7 linked regions of the Cricetulus griseus genome follow. The protein of the gene in region 1 purifies or fractionates together with the protein of each later gene. This does not show direct contact. Links are inferred from orthologs where the notes say so. Each region holds a gene or a part of one and is shown on either strand. Other genes may lie near its edges. The genes, in order: Aar2, Ecd, Eftud2, Znhit2, CUNH9orf78, Eapp and Snrnp200.

What was found.
Region 2: the proteins of Aar2 (region 1) and Ecd purify together in Homo sapiens (affinity purification with mass spectrometry; 3 studies listed by BioGRID and IntAct, counting the BioPlex papers as one, with this or other methods). This does not show direct contact. The link is inferred for Cricetulus griseus from reciprocal best matches to the Homo sapiens genes AAR2 and ECD.
Region 3: the proteins of Aar2 (region 1) and Eftud2 purify together in Homo sapiens (affinity purification with mass spectrometry; 5 studies listed by BioGRID and IntAct, counting the BioPlex papers as one, with this or other methods). This does not show direct contact. The link is inferred for Cricetulus griseus from reciprocal best matches to the Homo sapiens genes AAR2 and EFTUD2.
Region 4: the proteins of Aar2 (region 1) and Znhit2 purify together in Homo sapiens (affinity purification with mass spectrometry; 3 studies listed by BioGRID and IntAct, counting the BioPlex papers as one, with this or other methods). This does not show direct contact. The link is inferred for Cricetulus griseus from reciprocal best matches to the Homo sapiens genes AAR2 and ZNHIT2.
Region 5: the proteins of Aar2 (region 1) and CUNH9orf78 purify together in Homo sapiens (affinity purification with mass spectrometry; 3 studies listed by BioGRID and IntAct, with this or other methods). This does not show direct contact. The link is inferred for Cricetulus griseus from reciprocal best matches to the Homo sapiens genes AAR2 and C9orf78.
Region 6: the proteins of Aar2 (region 1) and Eapp purify together in Homo sapiens (affinity purification with mass spectrometry; 4 studies listed by BioGRID and IntAct, counting the BioPlex papers as one, with this or other methods). This does not show direct contact. The link is inferred for Cricetulus griseus from reciprocal best matches to the Homo sapiens genes AAR2 and EAPP.
Region 7: the proteins of Aar2 (region 1) and Snrnp200 purify together in Homo sapiens (affinity purification with mass spectrometry; 5 studies listed by BioGRID and IntAct, counting the BioPlex papers as one, with this or other methods). This does not show direct contact. The link is inferred for Cricetulus griseus from reciprocal best matches to the Homo sapiens genes AAR2 and SNRNP200.

What each region holds. Positions count from the first base shown.
Region 1 is NC_048599.1:23,026,730-23,029,383, reverse strand, and holds the end of Aar2 (protein AAR2 homolog), read left to right. Parts: intron 1-1,891; coding exon 1,892-2,059; downstream 2,060-2,654. UniProt on the Homo sapiens protein: Component of the U5 snRNP complex that is required for spliceosome assembly and for pre-mRNA splicing.
Region 2 is NW_023276807.1:200,645,039-200,649,007, reverse strand, and holds part of Ecd (protein ecdysoneless homolog), read right to left. Parts: intron 2,318-3,969; coding exon 2,189-2,317; intron 1,524-2,188; coding exon 1,438-1,523; intron 1-1,437. UniProt on the Homo sapiens protein: Regulator of p53/TP53 stability and function. Inhibits MDM2-mediated degradation of p53/TP53 possibly by cooperating in part with TXNIP. May be involved transcriptional regulation. In vitro has intrinsic transactivation activity enhanced by EP300.
Region 3 is NC_048600.1:115,274,500-115,278,468, forward strand, and holds part of Eftud2 (116 kDa U5 small nuclear ribonucleoprotein component), read left to right. Parts: intron 1-726; coding exon 727-854; intron 855-1,183; coding exon 1,184-1,377; intron 1,378-2,504; coding exon 2,505-2,616; intron 2,617-2,955; coding exon 2,956-3,096; intron 3,097-3,969. UniProt on the Homo sapiens protein: Required for pre-mRNA splicing as component of the spliceosome, including pre-catalytic, catalytic and post-catalytic spliceosomal complexes. Component of the U5 snRNP and the U4/U6-U5 tri-snRNP complex, a building block of the spliceosome.
Region 4 is NC_048596.1:53,289,519-53,293,104, forward strand, and holds Znhit2 (zinc finger HIT domain-containing protein 2), read right to left. Parts: upstream 2,084-3,586; 5' UTR 1,848-2,083; coding exon 651-1,847; 3' UTR 607-650; downstream 1-606. Other genes in the region: delta(14)-sterol reductase TM7SF2, read left to right, coding at 1-73. UniProt on the Homo sapiens protein: May act as a bridging factor mediating the interaction between the R2TP/Prefoldin-like (R2TP/PFDL) complex and U5 small nuclear ribonucleoprotein (U5 snRNP).
Region 5 is NC_048599.1:142,694,783-142,699,544, forward strand, and holds the start of CUNH9orf78 (telomere length and silencing protein 1 homolog), read right to left. Parts: upstream 3,146-4,762; 5' UTR 3,062-3,145; coding exon 2,979-3,061; intron 2,664-2,978; coding exon 2,604-2,663; intron 1,072-2,603; coding exon 1,020-1,071; intron 101-1,019; coding exon 30-100; intron 1-29. UniProt on the Homo sapiens protein: Plays a role in pre-mRNA splicing by promoting usage of the upstream 3'-splice site at alternative NAGNAG splice sites; these are sites featuring alternative acceptor motifs separated by only a few nucleotides. May also modulate exon inclusion events.
Region 6 is NC_048598.1:147,614,815-147,618,783, forward strand, and holds part of Eapp (E2F-associated phosphoprotein), read left to right. Parts: intron 1-2,547; coding exon 2,548-2,665; intron 2,666-3,969. UniProt on the Homo sapiens protein: May play an important role in the fine-tuning of both major E2F1 activities, the regulation of the cell-cycle and the induction of apoptosis. Promotes S-phase entry, and inhibits p14(ARP) expression.
Region 7 is NC_048599.1:51,367,498-51,372,189, forward strand, and holds the start of Snrnp200 (U5 small nuclear ribonucleoprotein 200 kDa helicase), read right to left. Parts: upstream 3,006-4,692; coding exon 2,961-3,005; intron 2,544-2,960; coding exon 2,380-2,543; intron 1,142-2,379; coding exon 970-1,141; intron 1-969. UniProt on the Homo sapiens protein: Catalyzes the ATP-dependent unwinding of U4/U6 RNA duplices, an essential step in the assembly of a catalytically active spliceosome. Plays a role in pre-mRNA splicing as a core component of precatalytic, catalytic and postcatalytic spliceosomal complexes.

The sequences.
Region 1 (2,654 bases):
TGAGATACTACCCAAACCTGTCAGAATGGATTGTTCAAAGTAAGTAAAGCCAAGAAGTGTTGAGCAGGCTGCAGAGAAACTGGATCCTGTATTCTGCTGGGCCTGATGTACTGTGGTCCAGCTGCTGTGGAAACAGTGCCCAGTAAAGCAGAGTTGCCATAAGGTTTAGCAGTTCCTTCTGGATCTGCACCCAAAGATCTGTAAGCAAGGACTGGAGTATTTGTACAGCTATATTCATGGCAGATTTATTCCCAGTGACTAAAATACAGACAGCCCAAATGGCTATTGAGAGGTGAATGGCAAACAGAATGTGGACTACTAGAGGCTAAAGAGGTTGATTAGGGATTAATTGCAGAGGATCTGAGTTCAGCTCCCAGCATCCATGTGAGACATCTCATGGCCGCCAACAACTCTGGCTCCAGGGCATCCAACACCACCTCCTGGCCTCTGCAGGCACCTACATGAGTATAAACATCATCAGACACAGAGGCACAAGGATACACATAAATAAAAATTTTGAAAACCTCTTTAAGTGTGTGTGTGTGTGATATGTGTATATAAAGATGTGAGCTGGGGATGGTGGCATGCACATTTAATCCCAGCACTCGGGAGGCAGAGGCAGGGGGAATCGCTGTGAGTTCGAGGCTAGCCTGGTCTACAAAGTGAGTTCTGGGACAGCCAGAGGTGTTACACAAAGGAATCCTGTCTGAAAACCAAACAAATAGATATGAAAGAGAGACAGAGTATACAATCATGCCTACTTGAAAGTGTGAACTGGGGCTGGGGAGGCATAGGGGGCAGGGTCTGACTATGTAGCCCAGGCTGGCCTTGAGCTTGAATTTCCTCTGCCTCAGCTTCCTGAGTGCTGGAATTACAGGTGTGCGCCACCATGTCTAGCTCTACTGTTTAGTTTTGGATTTTGAAGACAGGGTTTGACTGTGTAGCCCTGGCTGTCCTGGAACTCACTTTGTAAACCAGGCTGGCCTCGAACTCACAGAGATTCCCCCTGCCTCTAGATGTGTGCTACCACCAACTGGCTACTGTTTAGTTTTGAAAAGAAAGGAGATTAGGATGGATGTTACAATGTGGATGAACCTTGAAGATATGCTAAGTGAAATAAGCCAGCCACAAAAGGACAGATACTCTATGCTTCCTCTTCCATGAGGTTCCTAGCCTAGTCAGATTCATAAAGACAGAGAGTAGAAGAGTGTTTCTAGAGGCCAGGGGAAGGAAATGATAGGGAATTGGTGTTTCATGGGTAGAATTTCTATTGGAGAAGATGAGAGTTTCTAAAGATGAGTGTTGGTGATGGTTTCGGGATGGGAATGCACTTATTGCCACTGGCTCATCACTTAAAAATAGTTTAAATGGTAGCTATCTATTTTACCACAATTTAAACGATGGTAATTTTTTTTTAATGAACATTAAAGACAGCTTTTAGGAGGAATAGAAGCCTCAAACTGGTATTCTATGGCCCACTTAGAAGATTAGAGCAGCAATTCAGCCTTGTTTGCTGAGGGCATGTGACTTTATGGGATTCAAGGGCTTATGTGTCTCCCCGAACTTCTTTACACCAACTGGTATAACTATCTTTTCTTCTGTGTTAGCCCAGGTGCCTTATAGACCTTAACACAACCCCACCCCCAACTGGTGGGGCTGTAGTGGTAACTCTGGTGGCCTTACTTTCATGGAGCATCTATACACAGCATGGTAATTTTCCATTCCAATCCCATCCCAATGTGTTTTTTCTTGGTTGGGGGCGGGGGCCATAGCAGTTGTCCTGTAACTGTGCTCTGATCTACTGCCCCAGAGAGCTTAACACTAGGAGGAAATTTCCAGAGCTTTCTTGGTCCCCTATTCTCAGGAGTAACTTATACTCTGTTCTCTGTAGGTTTTCTTTTCTTCTGCCTGCAGTATTGCTGTGGATGCCACCCTGAGGAAGAAAGCGGAAAAGTTCCAAGCCCACCTGACGAAGAAGTTCCGCTGGGACTTTGCTTCAGAGCCAGAGGATTGTGCCCCAGTGGTGGTGGAACTCCCTGAGGGCATCGAAACTGGCTAACTGCAAATCCTCAAGCCAGGGAGACCCTTCCCACATGGCTACTGCCCGGTGTCTCTGCTCATCCGTCTTCCTGGGATCCTCCAGCATAGCGATCCAGGCAGGTCCTGTAAAGATGGAGCCAGGATCCCTCTTCACCAGTAAATACATTCCTTTGTTGCAAAAGCAAGATATTGTGGTTTCCTTTAGCCTGGCCCTGGCACTTAATTTCAGAAAAAGGCCCTTGTAGAGTGTCCAGATGAAACCTGCCCAACAACAGTCTAATTCCTTCTACAACGAGAAAAAAAAAAAAAAAAAAAAACTTAAGTCTAAAAGACTATGCTTAGTCCATAGCTGGTTAAAGGAAGAAAGAAGAAACCTGCTCCATCCCAGGGTCTGAGGGGTTAGTCGGTGAATTGTTAAGTTAAATGTAGGTTTGAAGTCGAATGTGGTTTGTACAGAATTTCTGCCTTCTCCTTGTTAAGTGGAAGGATACCTGCTGAAAAATGGGCCACTGAGCTCTCAGGAGCCCAGCCTGGGGAAGGGCGGCAGCAAGGAAGAGGGTGTGCTGAGTCTGACAAGTGGTCAGCTTCAGCTTCCTCTCCAAGGCCTCTTCAGC
Region 2 (3,969 bases), on another chromosome or scaffold:
AAATGAAGAAGACATCTAAGACTTGGGATTCAAGAACAGGTCTGGAGGGAGATAGGAGTTTGGTTTATAATAGTTTAAAAGGCCAGGCTTGGTGGCTCATATTCTCTCTCTCTCTCCCTCTCTCTCTCTCTCTCTGTCTTTCAAGGCAGGTTTCTCTGTGTAATAGTCCTAGCTGTCCTGGAACTCACTGAGATCCACCTGCCTCTGCCTCCAAAGTCTGGGATTAAAGGCGTGCATTACCACCACCCAGCAGTGGCTCATGTTCTTTTTTCTTTTTTTTTTTTTGTTTACTTTTTTTTTTTTATTAATTGTTCAAATTAGGAACAAGCTTGTTTCACATGTCGATCCCTGCTCCCTCTCCCTCCCCTCACTCCCATCCCGAGGCTCATGTTCTTAATTCCAGAATTTGGAAGGAGGAGGCAAGAGGAACAAGAATGTAAGACTAGCTGGGATACATAGTGAGACTCTGACTTAAATATCAAAAGACCAAAACAAAGCAAATCAAAATGAAATTGTTGAAAAATGGCTAATGTGAGAAATGGGAGTCCCCCTTGAAACTTTCAAATTCTGGTTGTTTTGTTTCTTGAGTCAACATCTCTCTTTATGAGCTAGGTTGACCTAAAAATTATGTAGCCCAGTTGGCCTCAAACTCATAGTGATCCTCCTGCTTCAGCCTTCTGAGTGCTAAGATTACACCCATGAACCATCACACTTGCTTAAAATATTAGATGTTTAGCAGCTTGTATATTTTCTTCAGTAGCAAAAACAGTTGTGTGCTTTATGGCATAATCCATTTCCTTAAATATTGTGTCATAAAGAACTGTAGGGGGTGGGGCTTCTTTAAGGCCAGGCAAACCCCTGTGCTCAGTGCCAGGGCAGCCTGTGAGCACTTAGGCTGTGAGTCTCCTGGCCTCAGTGTCTAACAATACATACACTTGTCAGTCTCAAAAAACAAACAAACAAACAAAAACCCAGAACTGTAGGGGACTGGAGAGGTGTCTCAGAGGTTAAGAGCACTGGTTGTTCTTCCAGAGGACCTAGATTCAGTTCCAGCACTCATTCACATGGCTGTAACTGTCCACAAACAATTGTAACCCAGCTCCAGAGGACCTAACACCATCTTCTGGCTTCCTTAGGGAACCAGGCATGCATGCAGTGCACAGACATACAAGCAAAACACTCACATACATAAAAATAATAAATATTTTAAAAAGAAATATACTCATAGAAAAATGATTAACTAAAATTATGTACAACAATAAAAATATCTATAATATAGATTCAAACACTGATTCCCCCAGTGGCATGCTCATGTCTGTATCCATACACACATTATACACACATACAGCCATGACATTTTATAAAACATATTAGTTAAAAAGAACTACCCAACCAGCAGTCTGCCTTCCTCTGTGGTGGGTGGTAGCTATAGCTCACCTTTCCGGGCGGTGTATGGAGAGCTGGAAGTAGTTCTTTGCCATTTCTAGTCTTTCCTGGTACTGAGCAGAACCTTCTATCAGTCCCTTGAAAACACAATACCGGTCATTAGAACAGTGCCTACACAATATGAGGGTGCTCCATCACTGTGCTATTCTCCCAGACCAATTTTATTATTATTTTGAAACTAGATTTTGTAAGTGGCTCAGCTGGCCTTTAAATAGCTACACAGTCAGACAGGCCTTGAACTTAGAATTTCCTGTCTGAGTCTCTGGTGAGCTGGGATTACATGTGTGTAGTACCATATCTGACCTCAAATTCCATTGATTTTAGTGAGTGTTTCATTAGCAGATGATAAATATATATAGTAATGGGTTTTATTTTTGATATCCTTGTATGTATATTTAATGCATTTTGAGCATACTCATGCCTATTACATTCTCGAATGTAAGGGTCTCTCAAAAACTATGTATAGGAGCATTCAGTTTTAATCATCTTCATTATCATGCTCATTTGTTTACATCCACCACCTGTGAGGGTGGATTTGGTGGTGGTGTTCGATTTATTTCTCTGAGATGAGGCTGGCCTATAATCTCCTTGGCCAACCAGTATAGTCAACTAGTGAGCTCCAGGTTCAGTGAGAGGAAGACCCCGCCTCTACCCACCCTCTGGCCCCCACCACGTGTAAGAACACAAATAACACATACATGCACACACATTCATAAGAAGAAGCAACCACCACAATTCCCACCTTAAAGTAATCATTCCTCTTCAGACTTTCAAGGAAGCTGGCCCAGAGGGGTGAAGCAGTCACAAGGGATTTCCTGGAGTCAGAAAAATGTGGGCTACATTTGGAGCACAAAATCTCAAATCCATGAGCCTAGATGAGATAGAAAGAATGTTTGTTATTCTTGCATTTTCTTTTTCTCTGTCATCTTAAATTAATTTTTCCCATTTAGCCCTTATCAAGAACTAGATGACTGGACACAATGAAATGTGAACACTTGAACACTTTTTAGTTTCTTTTTTCAGACAGGGTTTCAGTATATATACCTGGCTGTCCCTGGAACTCAGTATGCAGACCAGGCTGGCCTCAAACTCTGCCTCCCGAGTGCTGGGATCAAGGTGTGCACCACCATACCCAGCTTCACTTAGAACACCTTTTAAATTATACGAAAAGTAGAATTTGTTTCTGAGCTGGCAAGATGGCTCAGTGGATAAAGGGGCTTGCCACCAAGCCTGATGGCTTGTGTTCAATCTCTGAAACCCACATGGTAGAAGAGAACCAACGCAAAAGTTATCTTCTGACCCCCACTGTGCACCATGGCAGGCTCCCCCCAACCCTGCCATGCACACGAAATAGATCAATGAAAATGTAACAACAATGTGAAAGTAAGTTGAGCATATTCTCAGACACAGGAAAGAACAGAATGATTTTGTTTTAAGATCCTTTGGTAAAAAATGATAATAATATGGCACAATAATTCAAAGTCATTACCTAAGTCCGGCACCTCCCTTAAGAAGTAATCTGTGCACTCAAGTAAATACTGGTGCCATCCTTCTCTACCCTCTCATCACCCCAACAGCAGCACACACTCTACTGCACGTAACTGCATGATAAGGAGAGAATTTCCTACCGGCACACATCAATTTGTCAACTTCACTTCACAAACATGGCGTAATTTATCTATTCTTCCATGCACTTAGGTGTTTTCTAAGTTTTCACTATTACAAATGATGTTTCCTGAGTAGAAGTCTAGTGGTTTTGAAACCTGGAAACACATTTCTAGAAGTGCAAATGATAAGCAAAATGGTCAATGCAATTTCAGTGTTGATGGATAGTGGAAACTGGTTTTCACAGGGAATGAATCAACTTAAGACTCTCTCTCTCTCTCTCTCTCTCTCTCTCTCTCTCTGTGTGTGTGTGTGTGTGTGTGTGTGTGTGTGTGTGTGTGTGTGTGTGTGTTTGAGACAGGATTTCACTATGTAGCCCTGGCTGTCCTGGAACTCACTACACAGGCTAGGCTGTCCTAGAATTCAGAGGTCTGTCTCTCCCGCCCAAGAGCTGGGATTAAAAGTGTGCGCCACCACACCCAGCTAAATTTTTATTTCTATCCACATGTTAGAGTACCCTTTTCCTTTATATATCCTATAAATGCTTACCAGCTCAGTATATGTTCCCATACTTTTTTATATTTGCCAATCTAGTAGTGAAAAACTATTTTGTGGCTTTAAATTATATTAATTTTTAAGTAGAGAGGTCAATGCTTTTTCATGTTTAAATTAAAATTCATTTGTACTTCCTTCTCTGTGAACTATCTGTTCAGCTTCTGAACATTTAAAATTAATCAGTTAGCTTTTTTTTTTTAAAGATCTTATTTGTTTATTTGTATACAACATTCTGCTTCCATGTATATCTGAACACCAGAAGAGGGCACCAGATCTTATAACGGATGGTTGTGAGCCACCATGTGGTTGCTGGGAATTGAACTCAGGACCTCTGGAAGAACAGTCAGTGCTCTTAACCACTGA
Region 3 (3,969 bases), on another chromosome or scaffold:
ACTGGCCATCAGCCCAAAGATACTGGGCACCCATCAAGCAGATACACTTGGAACTGGGACTGTGGTTCATTTGTAGACCTCTAGGTTCAGTCTTGAGACTGAAGAAGAAAAAAATTTTAGTCTTCCCAGGGTGCTAATGAGCAGTCTGTCTCGTGGCTTATTAACCTGTTAGGGAAACGGTAACTTACTGCATAGAAACGTGTAGTGTTTCTCCAAGGGCAGGCTGGTCAGCTGAGGTCTGTCCTAAGTAAACAGAAAGGGATGAGGGAAACGTATCTGGCTCAGTAAATACTTGGGTTCAGTAAGAACATGGGTCTCTGTGGCCATGGGTTGGTTGTTTTAGAGTACTTAAGCTTTTTTGTCAGGTGGATTTTAAGGAATTGTGCCCCACCAAAACCTACTTCTTAAATTTCTCTGGCACGGTGACTCCAAAAAAGTGTTTTCTCCTTCTAGAAAATGGGCTTCCCTGGAAGTGTTATCTATCTCCTGGTTAGCCCATGCTTCCCTGGAAGTGTTATCTCCTGGTTAGCCCATGCTTCCCTGGAAGTGTCATCTCCTGATTAGCCCATGCTTCCCTGGAAGTGTCATCTCCTGGTTAGCCCATGCTTCCCTGGCAGTGTTATCTATCTCCTGGTTAGCCCATGCTCCCCCTCCAATTCCTTGGTGAGAATGTGTAGCAGCAGCAGTGTAGCAATGTAGTGACGGTGTCCTCTTCTCCCGCCACAGGCTTTGTGGACATGTGTGTGCAGCACATTCCATCTCCAAAGGTGGGCGCCAAACCCAAGATCGAGCACACCTACACTGGCGGCGTGGACTCCGACCTTGGCGAGGCCATGAGTGACTGTGACCCCGATGTAAGGGAACGTTTTATGGCATAGGTCTTCACTCTACCTCAGGCTGGTGTCACACTCCCAGGAGTCCTCCTGCCTCAGCCTCCCTTATGCTGGGATTGCTAGCCTGTACCACCTGCTTGGCTTGGTTTTCTCATTTGTATTTTTGTTGTGTCTGAGTCTCCTGTTAGCCCCTCATAGAGGGAGGGGTAATGCACGGTTTGGAATTTCTCCAGGAGTCCACGTCTTCCTTAGTCTGGCCTTTCTCCTCCCAGCTCCTGTCATTGTTGTCAGGATGTGGTGTTACCTTCGGGCTGTCTGTGGTTAAAGCTGTCCTCTGTCCCCTCTGCCAGGGTCCCTTGATGTGTCACACTACTAAGATGTACAGCACAGATGACGGAGTTCAGTTTCATGCCTTTGGCCGGGTACTGAGTGGCACCATCCATGCTGGGCAGCCTGTGAAGGTGCTGGGGGAGAACTATACTCTGGAAGACGAGGAAGATTCCCAGATATGTACCGTGGGCCGCCTTTGGATCTCGGTCGCCAGGTACTATACTCCTGACCAGAGTCTACAAGGACACGTGCGGGTGTCTATCCTGGGACTGTCGCCGTGTTAATGGGGTCCTAGGAAACACAGCGACCTGGTACAGCTGGTACAGTGTAGAGTGAGATGACCCCCTTCCTGACATCTAGTTCTTAAGGTTGCCGGGGCTGAAGGGCAACTCCTGTTAGAATGTCAGGAGCTTTCCCTTTGACTTTTGGGTATCTGGAGTGAAGTGTTTTCTTTTAGTAGAATTTCTGTTGTTACTCTTTTTATTCCCTTTTTAATGTGTATGAGTGTTTTGCCTGCATGTATGCGTGTGCATCATGTGCGTGGTTGGTGCCCCAAAAGGCCCTTAAGAGTGCTTTGGATCCCTGAACAGTGTTGCTTCCATGTGGCTGCTGGGAGTCACACTGAGGTCCTTTGGAAGAGCAGCTGGTGCTCTCGACTACAGGGTCACCTCTCTTATCCACTTTGCTGTGTCCCTTAGCTTACTGCTTCTGGTTTCTTCCCAGAAGCAGTTGTACCCAAACATGCTCGAATCTCTGGAGCTTCCCAGGCTGCTGGATTGCACTTAGATTGGGCCTCTGGGCTGTTTGTCATCAGGTGACAAGCAGAACCAGAGCAATCCTGTTGGTAACGTGGCTGCCATGCCTCAGTGATGGCCCCTTCCCCTCCTCTAAATCCATCCTTACTCTAGAAGACAGAAGAAAACTGAAGAGCTCAGGGGTGTGTGTGTGTGTGTTTTAGCAGCCCCTTAGGTTAGATAACTCCTAGGCAATGGCTATTTTGTTTTTTGTTTTATGATATAGGGTCTCACTGTATAGCCCTGGCTGTGCTGGAACTCACTGTGTAGACCAGGCTGCTGGCCTCTAACGTACAGAGGTCCACATCACATCCTCATACATGACACTCTGGCATAGCTCTTTCTTGTCCCATGTGCTCGCATCGATGATCCCCTCCCCACAAGAGTGGATCTGGGTTACTCACCTCTGCTCCTGGTCTGGGCCTGGCGTTAGCAGGTGCTTGGTGCTTGTGTGTGTGTGTGTGTGTGTGTGTGTGTGTGTGTGTGTGTGTGTGTGTAGTGAATGCTCTGACTAAGTCCTATGCTTGTTTATTGGCTGTTACTTCAGGTACCACATTGAAGTGAATCGTGTTCCTGCTGGCAACTGGGTTCTGATTGAAGGCGTTGATCAGCCGATTGTGAAGACAGCAACCATAACTGAACCCCGAGGCAATGAGGAGGTAGTGTTTCTGAAGGGGAGCAGGGAGCACTTTGAGCTAGAAGGGCACAGAAACCATGGTCATGTGAGCAAACAAACTTTGGAACTCAGAAGATCCTAATCCAGAGTCGATGCTACTTCTTGGCTCTGCCCTCGCCCTGCCACATTCTAGAAATTAGGACTAGTGAGCTTCTTGTTCATCCCAGGGCTGTGCCAAATGCCTGGAGCAAATGGTCCTTTAAATTGGGCCCCAGCTGTACCATGGTTCTCGGTTGGGGAGTCGAGACTTTAGCTTCTCCCTTAGGCCTGTGCCTTCTTGCCTGCCCCTGAGGCCCTCGCTCCTCTGTGTTTTGGATCTCAGGCTCAGATTTTCCGGCCCTTGAAATTCAATACCACATCTGTTATCAAGATTGCCGTGGAGCCAGTCAACCCCTCAGAGCTGCCCAAAATGCTTGATGGCCTGCGCAAGGTCAACAAGAGCTATCCATCTCTCACCACCAAGGTATGTTCGAGGCCTGCAGTAGCTGCGAAGCCATATCCGCCCCAGCTAACTGCTCTGTGCTGTCACTGTGTGACATTCAGCAGCTATTCCTGATCTGTTGCTTCCCACAGCCTGGTTCATGGACCAGCTCACCTGATATCATTTAAGGGCTAGACAAGACTGGACTGTGTGTATGTTTCCTCAGATGACTTTAGATAGACTTTTTCCTTAAGGGGCACACAATTTGAACTGAATCAGGTATGGTGGTGGACACCGTTAATCCCAGCATCTGCAAGGTGGCGTCAGGAGAATGCAGAAAGCTCAGGTCAGCCTCAGCTTCATAGGGAGTTGGAGGCCATTGTGGGCTACAAATAGGGCTAGAGAGATGGCTCAGCAGTTGAGAACATTGGCTGCTCTTCCAGAGGACCTGGGTTCAATTCCCCACACCCAGGTGGCTGCTCATCACCATCTGTAACTCCAGTTCCGAGGGATCTGAATCGCTTTTCTGGTCTCACAGGTGCCAGGCATGCAGTGCATACGTGTAAATGCAGGCAAGACACCCATACACATAAAATAACAACAGAAAGTTAAAACAAACAAAAGTGACTGATCTTGTTACACTCTTGAGCCTGCCACCAAACTATTTCTAAGAGGCAGGAAGGCAGAGTTACAGGGCGAGCTTATTTTGGTGGATATAAGGATGGGCTTTAACCTGCATGGCCAAGGGAGTAATCAAGTCAGTGATGCCGTACTCAGCAGCACTGTGCTAAATGGTCCTGGTGTCTTAGGGGCCTACTCATTAGGGAAGTATTGTCCTCTGGATTCTTATTTTGGGGACAGACACTTACTGTACAGTATTGGTTGACCTAGAACTAGCTATACAAATCAAATTGA
Region 4 (3,586 bases), on another chromosome or scaffold:
TCGCAAGTATGGCCGTGCCTGGCAGGAATACTGCAAACGTGTGCCTTATCGAATCATACCCTATGTCTACTGAGGCAGAGCCATCTAACAAGCTCAGGCCTGAACACATGTGGGGTGAAGGGCCTGCACCCCATTCTACTTGGCAGGGATGACCAGCCTCAGAGTCTGACGCAAGAAGAGGGAACCACTGCTCCCATATGAAAATACTTTTCCCTGCTGGATAAATGTTTTCAATCTTGTTTTTCTTCTATTCTGGGGTCAGTGATTTGGGGGAGAGAGGTAGAGAACTAGCTGACTAGGGAAGCTGTACTAGGGAAGTGGTTTGTGTGTCCAGGGTAGCTTCGTGGAACAACTGGTTTCTCTCAGAAATGGGCACTTCAGGCCTGGGGGATGTAGTTGTTATATAGAATGCTTGCTTAGCATTCAAGAAGCCTTTGACCTTCAGCACTGCATAAATTAGCAAGGTGACTTAACACTTGTAATCCCAGCACTGTCAAGGTAGAGGCAGGCTCGGCTCAGAAGTTCAAGGTCATCAGCTACACAGTGACTTCAAGGAAAGTCTAGGATAGGGTACTGTCTTTGAAGAAAATAAAGGTACTGCCAACATTTGGACAGACCAGTGACAGCTTTATTAATACCACACACCCAGCTCAGCCAGGGAGCTCCTCAATGAGAGTCCTTGGAGCAGGTGGTACCGGGCCTCCCCAAAGCCGCTCCAGCTCCCCAGTAAGGGTTGCCATCTCCTCGGCTGTGACAGCATGGGCTCGGTGGACCCTGGCACAGTCTAGAGCCAGTGGTGTGAGAGCAACCTCATTTTCGTTGGTCCAGGCTAGGAGGAACTGGCACTTCTTCCGAGCCCGGTAAAGGCGATTTCGTTCTTCGCTAACCACAGCCTGTTTCCGGGCTCGGCCCAGGGTTTGGGCCAGGTGCCCCAGTGCTGTCAGCGTGTAGCCTTTCTGGTTGATAGGACCCTCGCCCAGCAGAATACGAGCAACCTCTTGCATAGCACCCCGCGTACCCAAGGGCCCAGGTGGGTGTTCACCCGCTTCCAGCACGTGGGCTGCGGCCTGCAGGGCTTCCTCCGTAGAGTCAAAGACTTGCTGGGCGCCCAGGGCTCCAGAAACATCGAGCAGTGTGGCACAGAAATCAGAGAGTAGAGCGTCGTCGTCCCCTCCATGATACAGGGCGAGAGTGTGAGCGTAGGCGAACAGCACATTGGGCAGCTGGAATCGCACGAGTGGCGAGGGCGGGCAGCGGCTCAGGCTGGCCAGCGCTGGGATACGGGAGGGCACTGCGGGCGGCACGGCGGCATTTGAGTCTTCAGCAAGAGGCACCGCGGCGGCATCATCCACAGATTCGGGCGCGGTGCTCTCTGGGGCGGTCTCCGGCTCCGAAAGATCCCTGCCCGGGGCACGATCCAACTCCTCCATAAATCGCGGGCCACCCCCGCGGCCCCACCACCAGGGTCTCCACGGGGGCAGAAGGCGTCCAGCATCGCCACGGCTCAGCAGCCGCTCGAACGCCGCCTTCTCAGCCGGTGACAAGCTTTCCCAGAGTCCAGAAAGGCCGTTCGGCCGCGGGCCGGGCCTGAGGCCTATTTCCTCGGGCTCATCCTCGGTCTCCCGTTGTTCGCGTAGCCGGCGTAGTGCTCCCGCCAGACGGCTGGGAGAGGCACTCCGGCCGCGGAGCTCTCGCAGCACCTGGTCGCGGTAGAAGTCTTCGGCGCAGGAGCCATGCGCCCGGTAGCAGCGCAGCGAGCAGTAGGGCGCGTTGCAGCGCGGGCAGGTGTAGCGCGCCGGCAAAGCTTCCCCGCCTGGGCAGAAGCCGCAGAGCCCTACGGGCTCCATGGCAACTGGCGCCGCGTGTCGGGCACCACACAGCAGACGTAGCTCCGCCACTTCCGGTGCTTCTTCGGTTATTTCCGCCTTTGTGCGTGGGGCGACGTACCTTCTCGGTAACTTCCGTCTCTAGAGTAGCCTTTTGAGCATGCGCAGAACACGCCCAAGGTCTAACCAACACGGTGGCTCTCGAGAGTTAGAAGATTAATGTCGCTGATCCCAGCTTGTTCCCTGTGGTTTTACCAAATTGTGCAAAAATAAACTACCTTTTAAGCAAAACCAACCAACAAAAAAAATCCAGAATCTTAGGGGTGTAGCGACACACGCCTTTAATTTAATCCCCGCACCAGGTCCCCAGAGGCAGGGCGATTTCTGAGTTTCAGGTCTACCCAGTGAGTTCCAGAATAGTCAGAGCTACAGTAAGACCCTGTCTTGAAAATACCCCCAAAATAATAAAAACCCTACAAGAACCAAATCATAAACCAGGCATGACAAAGAATCTGAAGAGCAGGTTCCAGGACAGCCTCCGAAGCCACAGAGAAGCCCCGAAGATACTTAACATATCAATATAACAAACTGGGGCAGCCCAACCTCCAAGTTGGATTGAAATTCAATTCCTAGTATTTGTTTTGTGCCACCCATCCCCACCCAACCCCTGACTGCCACCAGAGGTTTGTGTAGCCTTGGCTTTCCTAGAACTAGCGCTGTAAACCAGGCTAGGCTAGCCTCTTCCTCTCAGAACTGGGATTAATGGTATGTGCCACTATGCATGGATCGCAAACTACATAGTTTCATACTTTTCCTCTACAAAGAACCTGAGTTGGGAATTTGACCCTTAAGCACTGCTCAGGCCAAGTGTGGTAGTCTACACAGCATGTGGTAGTCTAGTAACATTTGGGAGGCTGGGAAAGGAATATTAAGAGTCCAAAACTAGCCTGGGCTTAATAAAAACCATTTGCCTCCAAATCCCTGGTACACTCCTGAATGCTGTCCTAACAAGAATGTGGGAATACCCACACCCACTATAGTAAAAAGCTAATGGCTAAACAATGAGTCTGAGACAGTCACTATTCAGAGTCTACAATGGGTTAGACACTGGTTGCAGCGCATTTTACAGTTTGACCAGTATCTCTCACAAAGCTTAAATGGAATGGAGTGTCCAACTATTCTTTGGCCTTACTCCTTGGTGCATTCCAAGATGCAATGGGATCTGGGTGTAGTGGAAGCCTGGTGCTAAGGGTGGAACCATTTAATCAGCTTCTCAGTCACAGTTGTGATCAAGTTCAGCCAGACAAGATCAGGATGCCAGTGCAATCAGACAATTCCAATGCCGAGGGACCCGATGCTCCTTGTGTTTTGAACTTTTTTTTTTTAAGATTTTATTTATTATGTATAAAACATTCTGCTTCCATGTATATCTGCACACCAAAAGAGGGCACCAAATCTCATAAGGTTTGGTTGTGAGCCACCATGTGGTTGCTGGGAATTGAACTCATGACCTCTGGAAGAGCAGTCAGTGCTCTTAACCTCTGAGCCATCTCTCCAGCCCGTGTTTTGAACTTTTATTGATAGTACAGCTGGTCCCAAATTCAGTAAAAACCGATTCACCTTCTAACCAAGGCCTCCCCTCCCTTTAATCATTGCCTCTCCAAAACAGCCTAACACTGAACCTGTTTGGTTGGTTGAAATAGGGTCTCTATGTAGACCAGGGTGGCCTTGAACTCAGATCACCTGCTACATCTACTCAG
Region 5 (4,762 bases), about 120 Mb from region 1:
TGTGTTTGTGCCCAGTACCCTCCACTTACTTATCTTTGCCCCTCTCCTTCAGCTTCTTCATGTCCACCATGCCACCTGTCGTCATTTGGAAAGGGTCATCCTGCGGAAAGCACACTGCTTAGAGGAAGCATCTAGAATAGTAGCATCAGAGTTATTGTGATCATCTGTGAGTGTACAGGTGCACGTACACATATGTATGCATACCCGTGAAGGTCAGAGGTCAACGTTGTAGGTGTGTCCTCAATCATTCTCCACCTTATTTTTTGTTGTTGTTGTTTTTTGGGGGGTTTTGTTTTGTTTTGTTTTTTGTTAGACAGGGTTTCTCTGTGGCTTTGGAGGCTGTCCTGGAACTAGGTCTTGTAGACCAGGCTGGTCTCTCACTCTGACTCCCAAGTGCTGAGATTAAAGGCATATGCCATCACCACCCAGCTTTTCTTACTTTGTATGTGACCATGTTTGTTAGTTTTGTGTGTGGACAGTGTATATACATGTTTGTGTGTATGCATGTGTGGTTGTGGAGGCAAGAGCCCAAAGTCAGGCATCTGCCTCAATCACTTTCCACCTTAAATATCTCAGACAGAGAACTTACTGATTTGGGTAGACTCACTGGCCAGTCAGCTCCAGGGCTCCAACTGTCTCTACTCCAAACCTTGCTAGGGTTACAGATGGATGCCATCATGTATAGCTTTTGTGCTGGGTACTAGGGGCCTGACTCAGGTCCCCAAACTTGTGCAGCAAGAACTTCAGCACTTTACCCACAAAGCCATTCCCCCAACTTATACTTTGAGAGAGGGTATCTTAGCTTTCTTATTCAGCACATCGTCCTAATCTGCCTCCCCAGTGCTCAGATTATAGGGATGTGTCACCATTCTCAGTTTTTCATGTGGGTGCCAGGAATCCAAACTTGGACCCTTGTGCTTGCACAGGAAGCACTCTGACTAGCCATCTCCCTGGCAGCATGGTTATACATTAGAGACACACTCACAGAAGAACAGCCCCAGAGAGGAGACAACACTCACCACCAGAGTAGTCTCCTCTTGAACCTTCTCTCCCACCAGCAGGGCAGCAGCACTGAGCAAAAGAAAACAGACAAAGAAATGACACAGAGACAAGAAGGAAATCAATCAATATGCTGGCTAGTTTGTTTTGTCAACTGAAACAAGCCAGAGTCACCTGGGAAGAGGAAACTTCAATTGAGAAAATGCCTCTATCATGTTGGCCTGTAGGCAAGCCTGAGGAGTATTTTCTTACTTGTGATTGGTGTGGGAGGGCCATTGTGTGCAGGGCTCCCTTCCCCCTGGGTATGTGGTCTTGTGTTGTATAAGACAGCTGAATGTAAACCTGGGAAGCAAGCCAGTAAGCAGTGCTCCTCCATGCTCTCTGCTACAGTTCCTGCCTCTGGGTTCCTGCCTTGTCTTCCCCCAATAACTGAATGTAATCAGAACCTTTCCTCTGCAAGTGGTTTTGTGTCATGGTCACAGCATAGGAAGCAATCTGGGACAATCAGGTTTGCAGGCTAGAGCACTGATGGAAGGGCATGCCCAAGAGTAGGTAGGAAAGAACACAGTGCTCAGCACACTGAGTGGGAGGGTGAAAGGCAAAGGAAGCAGCTGTGCATGTTCCTGCATAGCCATTTGATTTCATTTTAGCCTGGAAATCACAGTATAATTTGGGTTTTCCAGACAGGGTTTCTCTGTGTGGCTTTGGAGCCCATCCTGGGACTGGCTTTGTAGACCAGGCAGTCCTCAAACTCACAGAGATCTGACTGCCTCTGCCTCCCAGAGCACTGGGATTAAAGGTGCACATCACCACTGCCCGGCTCCCACAAAGTTCTTAAATATAGGGTCTATATTTAATTAAATATAGGGTCTATATAACCCAGGTTGCCCTCAAACTCCCAGGTTAGGATTAGAGGCATGCACCAACAACCACCACAGAAATCATTTATTTCTTAATTATACTTCTCTAATTTTTCTAAACTCTTATCTGTCAACACGTTGTCATTCACAATTCATCCGTGCAATTAAAAACTCCAATTAGGGCTGGAGAGATGGCTCAGAGATTAAAAGTACTGGCTGCTCTTCCACAGGTCCTGAGTTCAATTCCCAGCAACCACATGGTGGCTCATAACCATCTGCAATGGTGTGCAAGTATACATGCAGGCAGAACACTGTATAAGTAATAAATAAAATCTTGAAAAACAAAGCAAAACAAAAAAAACAACTCCAATTAGCAACAGGGTGGTGGTGATGGCTCATGCCTTTAATCCCAGCACTCAGGAGGCAGAGGCAGGCGGATCTCTGTGAGCTCGAGGCCAGCCTAGTCTACAGAGCAAGTTCCAGGACAGGCTCCAAAGCAATACAGAGAAACCCTGTCTGGAAAAACCAAAAAGCAATTAGTGACCTGGAGTAGACTCTGATACCACCAGGCTCAGGGCATGTGGCAGTTACACATTTGAAAAAAAACTGGTCCCCTCTTCGACCAGTGCAAGGTGTATGTCTAGAGAAAGAACTATGTCGAAGGAGATATTTGTAACTGAGACCCTAGCTGGAAGTATCTGTGTCATCAATAAATGACGCCACCCCCACCCCCATGGTACCCACCTCACCCCGTTTGGCCTCTTCCTTAAGTTCTGCACCTCTCGGGTTTCTTCAAGTTTTAACCTGGGGGGAAATGAATAAAAAGCAATGCACAGGCTGAGAGATCCTCTGCGGAACTCAAAGCTTAACTCAGTTCCGGGGACATCCGTGTCTCTCGGCCGAGTCCCTGGCACTGTGGATCACCGGCAGTCAGACCCATGCGACCCCGGAGCACCTTTCCGAGCTTCGGGACCGGGGAAATGTGGCCTTATCAGCAGGAGCCTCTGAAAGACAACAACCCTGGCTCCCGGTCAGTGGTGTCAGCGCAGTGCCGGCCGGTAGCCAGTCCCAAGGCTGTTTCCCTCTTCCTGGGCCGTGGAGGTCATGCCAAACACGTACCGAACCTCCTCTGATTCCTGCTCATCTTCCTCCGACTCCGAGTCAGCCCGCCGCCGGCGGAAAGTCTTCCCAGTGATCCGCATAGCGGCACCAGATCTTAGGAGCGGCGTTACCTGCCGCGTAGTGCCGGGAACCTCTTTCTCTTCCGGCGCGCAGAAGTGTCGTCAGAGGGCCGGCTGCATGCAGACCCGCCTCCGGGTGTCCAGGCCGCGCCCCAGCAGCATAGCCACCAGCTCCCAACTCCAAAAAGCAAGGGCAGGTACAGCCGCGTGGCCACGCCCCAGCGCCGAGACTGTGCCCTCCACCAGCAAGACAGTCTTCGAACCACGTGGCCACGCCCCAGCAGCACGGCCACTCCCCCTACTCCCAGCATGCATGGGCACTCAGTACTCGCACGGCCACGCCCCCAGCACGCACGGTCCCGCCCCCTAGTAGGCAGCGCCATGTGACCCCGCCCCGTCCTTGGCATAGGCTCTCTCGATTGGACAGCTGACGGTAGGGAGGCGGGGCACGACAGGCAGAGCCACAAGACTCTGCGCGGCGTCGCGGTGGGCGCGCTTGACTGACAGGCGGCGCGGTTGCGACGGCAGGTGAGTTCCGGACGGCTGATGCCTGGTGCGGTGGGCTGGGCCGCTAGAGCAGGGACGATCGCGCCGCCGCTGCGAACTGGGGAGGCCTGGCTTTGCGGGGCAGCCGCGATCTGGGGAGAGGTCCCCGCCGCCCACCCTCCCATCGACCGGCTCCTGTGTCCGCCCCAAGTCCCCACGGCCCTGGCTTCTCCTGAGCAGGCCGCACGTCGCTCGGAAGGCCAGCGCGAGGCCACTCGGGCTCTGGGCCTCAGATGTGCAAATTTATTTCTCACGGACAAAAGCTGAGCGCCTTGGCGGGGGTGAATATCAGTCCCGATACCAACTCCCCCGTACCAGGGTGGTCTGCTGCTACTGGTCCCTAGGAGGGATGCCACTGACGTTCAGAGGCCTCTCCAAGGGTGTGAAGCCGGGGACTGCCCTTCGAGAGCTCGGGGTGTCTCCTTTGGCCTGGAGGACTCGCTCTGTCCTACACACCTTCCACCGCCAAGATGTTGCGAGAGTAGTTAGCTTTCAAAGGTATCCATAAACACTTAGGAGATGGATAAGTGCATGCGTAATGGCTCACATGGGACTTATAGGGACTCCTTAATTACTAGTTTCCTCTGGAGCAAAGCACTTCTTAACTGTGGCAGGGCTAAGCATTCTCTCCTAAAAGTCTCCGGTCTAATCTCACGAAGTAGATGCAGTTGGGTCTGTCTTCCAACTGAGGAAGTTAGAGAAGGCTGAGGCTTAGAGAAGTAACCTGTGCTTCAAGTTACACAGCTGGGAAGGGGAGCTCAGGTGGGGGCATAGTTTTCCCAGCTGTGGGATTTGCATCAGGGACAGCGGGCCTCTATGGCATTCCAGTTCATGGGCTGGGGCGGGGGGGGGGGGCGGGAGACTGATGGAGACTTTTTTCTGGAAAACTATTCTAAAGCAGGGAGGCATGTCTGCCATGCTTTGGCTTTTCTCCAGAACAATTTTCTCTGAGGTTGTCGTTCCTCTTAAACTAGGACAAAGAAGACTGGGATGTCTTGAAACAGCTTTTTTGCATTAATGAAAAATACATTAAGTATCGAAGTCTTGACCTCCCAGCAAGGCTGTTTCAGCCATTGTTAAATGTGTATGGCACTCACTGGACGCCATGTCTCTGTTGGCTGAAAAAGAGATTCCGTGGGAACTGCTGCACAAACCCAGGGAATTGGATTACAACTC
Region 6 (3,969 bases), on another chromosome or scaffold:
GGAGGCAGAGGCAGGTGGATCTCTGTGAGTTCAAGGCCAGCCTGGTCTACAGAGTGAGTTCTAGGACATCCAGGGCTACACAGAGAAACCCTGTCTTGAACCCCCCGCCCCCCCCCAGCCCCCCCCCACACACAAAAGAAAGAAAACCAGACTTGACACTGGTGGCAAGTACCACAAACAAAATACAGCAGCCACTGAAGCTTCATATTTGGTGGCACTCAGAATTGCCATAGCTATGAAAACTCACACCATTGCTCAGGATTTACTGTTGCCAGTGGTCAAAGATGGTGCTCAAGATATGAGATCAGAAGTGAATTTGTTTCATAATTAATGCAGTTTCCTTATCTAAAGACACTGTCTGCAGAAGAGTAGATGGCATGTCTGCTGATATTCTTGATCAGGTAATCCAGGAAATTGAATCTGCTGCACTTCCAACATTTATTTATTATCCAGCTTGATGAATCTACAGACGTTGCAAACTGTTCAGTTACTAGTTTACATGAGGTGTGCTAATAATGGCGATATTAAAGATGAGTTTCTTTTTTGCAAACATCTTGAAACAACAGCTACTGCACGTGATGTATTTGACACAGTTGGTTCATTTCTGAAAGAGCACACAAGCTCTTGGGAGAGGGTTTGTGGTGTTTGCACCAGCTTGCTAGGATTTCAATGTTTGGTACTCAGTAAGTCACCAGAAGTCATCGGAACTCTCTGAATGATTCATTGGCAAAAGATTCATTAGCAGTGAATGATTCATTAGCAGTGAAGATGCTGCCACAAGAGTTATAAGAAGTAATGAAAGGTGTCAGTTTTGTCAAAGTGAGCATTTTAGACAGTTGACTGTTTTGTAGCTGTGCAGTGAGTTGGATGCGTTGAACAAAGCTCCGCTGTTTCACACTGAAGTGCAATGGTTGTCCAGAGGGAAAGGGTTCAAACATGTGTTTGAGCTTTGTGATGAACTCAAAGATTTTAGATTTATTTACTTATGTATTTTTTGTATGAATGCTCTGTCTTCATACACACCAGAAAAGGTCATCAGATCCCATGATAGATGGCTGTGAGCCACCATGTGGGTTCTGGGAATTGAACTCAGGACCTCTGGAAGAGCAGCAATTGTTCTTAACTTCTGAGCCATTTCTCCAGCCCCCTCAGAAAGCAGTTGGAAGCACTTTTCAGCAATGAATGTGAGCTGCAGAAAACAGCTTACTTGGTGGACATCTTTGTCATCTTGAATGAGTTAAATTTATCACTGCAAGGACCAAATGCAGCATGCCTGGATTTGTCTGAAAAGACCTGATCATTCCAAATGAAACTTCAGCTTTGATTAAAAAGGGAAAAAAAAAAAGATGATAATAGAATTCACATGTTGTCTACCTAATCTTCTTTCTTTGAGGAACATGACATTGAACCAGACAAAAGGATATTATATTTATGTGAAAGAACACTTGCACATGAAATTTCATCATACTTTCCAAATCTACCTGACACCCCATTTGCCCCTGCCAGAAGCCCATTCACAGTCAAAGTGAAGATGTTCCCGAGAAACGGCACAAGAGGAATTCCTCACTGAAGTCACTGACAGCTGTGCAATGAGGATCTCTCTACACTGCCAGTTGCATAATTCTGGGTCAAGTGTTTGCAGTCAGATCCTGTGCTCTCTGAGGCTTTGTTGTGCTTTCTTCCATTTCCAACAACATATCTTTGTGAAACAGGGTTTTCCAGCTTGTTGGTTATAAAGTCTAAATACAGATGTAGACAGTGCACTTGCAAAGACTGGCCCGAGAATTTCTGATCTGGTGAGAAAGAAGTAGTCTCAACCTTTGCACTAAGGTTGGCTTTTTACGAATACTGTTGAAAAATATAGTTTTTTTTTTTTTTTTTATTAAGGCTGTTACCCATGCTACACCATGTTTCAAGACAAAATTTATTTGTAATTAGAAGTAAATAGTCCACAATATAGAATTACATATTATTTCTGTGGTTAGTCATTATGCTTTAATTATGTTCATTTTGTAACAATGAAAATATAGTCAGGGCTACGCAGAGAAACCCTGCCTCATACAGGGGAGACTGGTCTCAAACTTGCTATCTAGCCAAGGATGACCTTAAACTCTTGATCCTACTGATCCACTGGGGTTACAGAGTTGTCACCATGCCAGTTAGTTTAAATGGGTATTTTGAGACTGAATTTTCATTATTTGAATTTAGCCCTTTGGCCTCTTTTCTCTGTAATTTGGTGTCTTAATTGAACAAAAACTCTTATTTGAAGAATAACTATTTTATGAATTTGTTTTTGGGGTAGGATTTTATTTTTGTTGCCAGAGTGGCCTGGGACTAACTGTGTAGTCCAGGCATGGCAGTTCTCCTCCTGCCTCAACCTCCTAAGTGTTGGGATTGCTGGCTAAAGAAAGGCTTTGGGTATCTTTTTAAAAGATAATATAAATAGAATAAATACATAGTATGGGAAACAGGAGAGTCATTTTATATTAAAGAATTGTAAACTTTAGACATGATTCTGATCCATATTGGTAACCTTTTAAAAATTAGCACAAGTGACCAAGAAAAAGAAGAAGAAACAACGCAGGATTCCAACAAACGATGAGTTGCTATATGATCCTGAGAAAGATAACAGAGACCAAGCCTGGGTTGATGCACAGAGAAGAGGGTAAGAATTTAAATCTATATATGTAATCTTTACAGGAAGAATGATTTTTCCCTGCTTTTATATTTTATAGTATGTGTATTTGTTTTTACACAAACACATCAAAAACAATTTGAGGAGAAAAACTTGAATAGTTTATTTGAAAATAACCAGCAGTTTTAGTCAGACAATTGAATATTTGTTTATTTATTTACTTTTTTTTTTTTGAGGCAGGGTTTCTCTGTGTAGCCCTAATTATCCTGGAACTTGTTCTGTAGACCATGCTGGCTTTGAACTCAGATCCACCTGCTTCTGTCTGGGATTAAAGGTCTATGCAATCACTACCTGGCTAAATTTTTATTTATTTTAAAACAGATCCTCGACGGATGTTGGTGGCGCACACCTTTAATCCCAGCACTCGGGAGGCAGAGGCAGGTAGATCTCTGTGAGTTTGAGACCAGCCTGGTCTGAAAAAGCTAGTTCCAGGACAGCCTCCAAAGCCACAGAGAAACCATGTCTTAACACCCCCCCCCCCAAAACAAAACAAAACAAAACATAAAACATTAAAATAAAACAGATCTTCATGTAGCCTAGGCTGGCTTTAAAAACTTAGTATGTGGTTGGGGCTGGTCCTGCTTCTACCTTCCAAATGCTCTCTGGAATTTCAGGTTTGTGTCACCACAGTTAATTGTTGAGTTATTGATGGATCTAAACTGTCATAGTCAGTCACTTCATTTAAGAAATAGAACTTTTTAGCTGGGTGATGGTGGCACACGCCTTTAGTCCCAGCACTTAGGAGGCAGAGGCAGGTGGATCTCTGTGAGTTCCAGGCCAGTCAGGGCTGTTACACAGAGAAACCTTGTCTCAAAAAAGAAATAGAACTTTCTATTGTTCTTGTGGGACAGGGTCTTGCTATGTAGGCCTGGCTATCCTGGTACTCATTATGTATGTTGCCCTGGCTGATTTATAGCAATGCTGCCTCAACCTCCTAAATTCTGGGATGATAGGCATGTGCCACCATGCACATACCTTGCCTCTTGCCCCTACCTCTGTGGTACTAGGTTCAAACCTAGGCTCTAGCATGCTGGCAAGTGTTGCAGCACTGATCTGTATGCTCTATCTTCATGTATGCCTTTACGCCAGAAGAGGGCATCAGATCCCACTATAGATGGTTGTGAGCCACCATGTGGTTGTTGGGAATTGAACTCAGACCTCTGGAAGAGCAACCAGTGCTTTTAACCTCTATTCTGAGCCATCTCTCCAGCCCCTCGCCCCCCTTTTTTTTGCTTTTAAAAGTTGTTCAGGCTGGCCTTGAAGTCACTCTGTAG
Region 7 (4,692 bases), about 28 Mb from region 1:
CACTGGGTACACAGGGTGCACACACACACACACACACACACACACACACACACACACACACACACACACAAATATATATAAGAAAGACAGTCATACACATAAAAAGCAACTTTAAAAAAAAAAAAAAAAGAACAGAAAGAAAATCTGCAGCATCTCAGGCTTTGATCACATTCATCAACAAGATACAATGGCAATGTGCCAGTAATCCTGGCACTTGGAGAAACAACAGGACCATAAGTTCTAGGTTATTCTTGAATACACAGTGAGTTTGAGGTCAGCTTGAGCTACATGAGACCTTGTCTCACACAAACAAATAAAATAAAATTTAAAAAATAAGCTTTGATCCCAGCACTCAGGAGGCAGAGACAAGAGGATCTCTGAGTTTGAGGTCAGCCTGGTTTACAGAGTGAGTTACAGAACAGCCAAGGCTACACAGAGAAATCCTGTTTTGAAAAACCAAAAGATAAAAATTAAAGACTATAGGGAGCTGCTGAGGATTTAACACAGTGGTACCACATGCCCTTAAGCGTAGCACTCGGAAGACAGAGGCAGGTGGCAGAGGCAGGCAGATCTTTGTGAGTTAGAGACCAATCTGGTCTACAAGAGCTAGTTCCAGGACAGCCTCCAAAGCTACACAGAGAACCCCTGTCTTGAAAAACTTAAAAAAAAACAAAAAAAAAAAAAACAAAAACAAAAACAAAAACAAAAACAAAGCATGAGAGATCCTGGAGTCAGTCCCCAGAAGTGGGGGGGGGGGGATTAGGTAGATGCTTTTCAGAAGCAAAACAAACTTATACTTTCCACCAAGGCCAACAACTTAGGTTTGATCTCTGAGTCCCACACAGATGAAAGTTGTCCTGATTTCCACAAACAGAATAAATATTTGTAACTAATAATTTAACCAAAATTCTTGTGCATCACCCTTTCTCTTTCCAAACACAAGGCCTCATCCTCTGGTTCCAGCCTCACCTGGTCTCCAAGAGCAGCCTGGATAAAGCTGAGCAGCACCTCATAGGTCTCTCGCGTCTCCTTAGTTTTGGGCTTATAGATGATGCCCACCATTTCATCAATGCCCTCTGACAGCAGCGTATAACCTTTCATCTTGTTGATGTCATGCCGGTCCTCATCACGCTTTCTTCTCCTAATGAACACAGGGTGTGATGCTCAATGGGAGAACTTTGCGCCCCCAAGTCAAGTTTACCTTTTCTTTTCTTTTCTTTTCTTTTCTTTTCTTTTCTTTTTATAATTGCAATTAGACCAACTTTAAATTAGAAACCAGCTTCATTTACATGTCAATCCCAGTTCCCTCTCCCTCTCCTCCTCCCCTGCCCCCCACCCCCGAAGTTTACCTTTTCTATACATCTAATATGTGCAAGCAGGAACATGAATCAAAATAAGTAATTCCCACTTGACTTTAAGCATTTGAAGAAGTATTTATTTCTTTATCCTCATGAGGAGATAATATAATGGTATTTCAACTTTAAAAAACAAACAAACAAACAAAACCTTTTATTAGCCAGAGAGGCTAGGCTCCAGGGGAATCTACTTCTATGACTCCCAATAAACAGCTAGAAAAGAAGCCAGATTCTGAAAAGTGAAGGACCAAGGAATGTTTCTTCTCAAATTTAACAATTCTCTCAAGTCTCAACAACTCTCCCCAATTATAACCACTCAAACTAAACAGGGCCTGGGGACTGTTAAGACTTCACAGAAAGAAAAAGGAGAAAGAAAGCACAGTAGGAGAACATGCAACTTTTGAAATGGATCTATCAAGATGAAAAAACGGGAGAGACAACAAAACAAAAGCATCAGGAAGTGGACAACAACCGGAGGGAGTTAGGGTAAGAAGCTTTTAACAGTGGTAGTGGGGCTGAACTGCTGAGACAAGAGATTAACAAGGGTCTGGAAAATAGTTGGTGACGGGGCTGGGGAGAAGGTTCAAGTAGTTAGAAGCAATACTGCTTCTGCAGAGGATCAGAGTTCAGTTCCCAGCCCTCCAAACTGGGTAGCTCACAACTGCCTGAAACTCCAGCTCCTATGTTCCAAACTGTCTTCTGGCCTTCACAGGCATTTGGATGCATGTGCACATACTCACAAAAAAACACACATGCACATGATTAAAAATGAAACAGATTTTTAAGAAAAAAATAGCTTGAAGAAAATTAGCATCTACCTATGAATCAGAAACAAAAAGTACTAATAGATTTTTGTTCCATTTCATTGCACCCAAGTCCAAAGAAACTTTAAACCTTGAAGAGGTTTTCATTCTCTTGTGCAAACACCGCTGATCTTCCACAGGTACTTCATCAAAACTACTGCTCAAATGTTCAAGATGCGCTTTAGACTACAAGGAAAATATAACACCCCGTTGGTACCTACTTGGCCCGTCTTTCCTCCTGCATCTGTGGTTTGGTGCGTTGAGCCTTATCTCCCATCCGAGTTCCCTCCAACTTCCCAACCAGGGACAGAACCTCTCCTGTCGGTTCATCCCGGCGGGTCCGGTCAATAAGTGAGCGGTCAGCTTGGAGCACAAGATTTGAGTTCTGAAAAGATCATACTTAATCAAAACTTTAATATATAAATAGCTTCGGTTCCTGTTATCACAGTGACACCTGAAGATGGAAAAATACTGGGAAAAAGGAATAATCCCCTTAAGAAGAAACAGTATAATAAAACGCCAAGCACCGGACTGTCTGGTAAAGTGAACGATCAACGTTCCTAACAGTAGTCACAATAACCCACATTAGGTGAAGTGTTGAGCAGATTTGGGGATAACGAGTAGGAAGGGGCGGTTTGAGGAGACTGGGAAAAAACCTCCCGAGTCCTCACGCGCCCTAAACCCCACTAGAGTTATTCCGTCGTGTTTTAATCCAGCCTTCACCCAGATCAGATATTCCGTCCGTGTTTGTGGCTACCCACGGCCTCCCTCGCCCGCAGCCCTCCGCCGAGACTTCACGCACCGCCTTGTACTCGTACTGCAGACTGCGGGCAGTCACATCCGCCATGGCTGCCGATGCTCCGGGAACTCAGGGTTCCACTCTCCACACGCTGCGAACCGCCTCAACAAACCGCGCCGGCCCAGCAGGAACGACGCAGGACAAACGTGCGGGACAGAGAAAAGCAACGGACTCCCTTCCGCTTCCGGGACGTACGCTAAAAGTGATACTTTCCGGCGACTACGCACCGCCACTAGGTGGCGGTTGCAGAAGGTAATACATCCGGGTCAGGGATTCCGTGGACCTAGGAAACACGCTCCTGCGCAATATGGTTCCAAGGACCTATACGTACGCAGAGTCACGAAGCCACTTTTAGTGTGGTGTTAAAAGTCCCTTTCTGTAATACACTTTTGCTTTCTCAGTCCAGCGGTCCCGTCAGGCAGGCAGGCAGGCATGCTTGCAGGCAAACGGAAGCTTAGGAGCTCCGTTTATTAAGGATGAGAAAGTTGAAGGAGCAAGTTAACATGCTTCTAATAACTGACTGGATTTCTCTTCTGTATTGAGAAATTGGGGAAATGTTTGCTGCCCCCAACGCTTTTCCTCAAGAGTCAATCGCTGTGGCAGCTGACTGAAGGTGAAGGAAGAAATATTTGCACCCAATGATCTGTCACAGTCCATGTCAGGATTATAGATACGGATTATTTGTTCTCAATGTGGCACAAACGCTACATTTACTAAAGAAATATATGAAAAGTCTATTCAGATATACTATTCAGATGTATTAAGCAGTAATGATACATTTTATGAAATGGCGGTATCTAATCTTTTAATAATTCTCTACATTGAAAACAAAACAGCTATTTCTACTTTTCCCTTTAGGTTTAATAAGCACAACTGACCCTTAGGCCTGTGTCTTAATCCACTGAGCCATCTTGCTGGCAATTTTTATTGTTTAATCTGTTTATCATTACTTTCGTTTTATTCTATGTATATGGGTGTTTTGGCTACGTGTATATCTGTGTCTGAATGTATGTTTGTGTGTCATGTATGCGCAGAGCCCAAGAAGGCCAGGAGGAGGTATTAAATCCCCTGGGACTGGAGCTACAGATAGGTTAGGAGTTGCCTTGTGGGTGGTGGGGTTGAAACCTAGGTCCTCTGAAAAGAGCAGCCAAGTGTTCATAACCATTAAGCCATCACTCCAGCCCTTCTTTGGCTTTTGAGAAAAGATCTTTTGGAGTCCAGGTAGGCCACAAACTTGCTCTGAAGAGACTTCTCTGCATGCTATTATTATTGTTGTTATTATTATTATATTTATTATTTATGTTTATAATGCAAATAATATATAGAATATTTATATATTATATCTTAACATATTACTAACAAAATATTTATATTATATTTATTATTATTTTATTCTATATTATTATTTTTTATTGTTGTTATTTGTTTTTGAGGCCAAGCTGGCCTCCAATTTGCCTCTGCCTCCCAACTACTGGGATAAAAGGTGTGTGCTACCACAGCCTGGCATCTCCAACCCTATTTTGTAGACAGCTTTTTCTTTGGGCCACCAGCTCACAACAGAGACTTATTAATTATGAAAGCTCAGCCTATAGCTTAGGCTTGTCCCACTAGCTCTTATAACTTAAATTAACCCATTTATATTCATCTATGTGTTGCCATGCATCTTGTAGCTTTTACCTCTCGAATGTCCTGCTATCTCTGTCCAGAAGTCCCTGCTATACCTCCTGCCTAACTA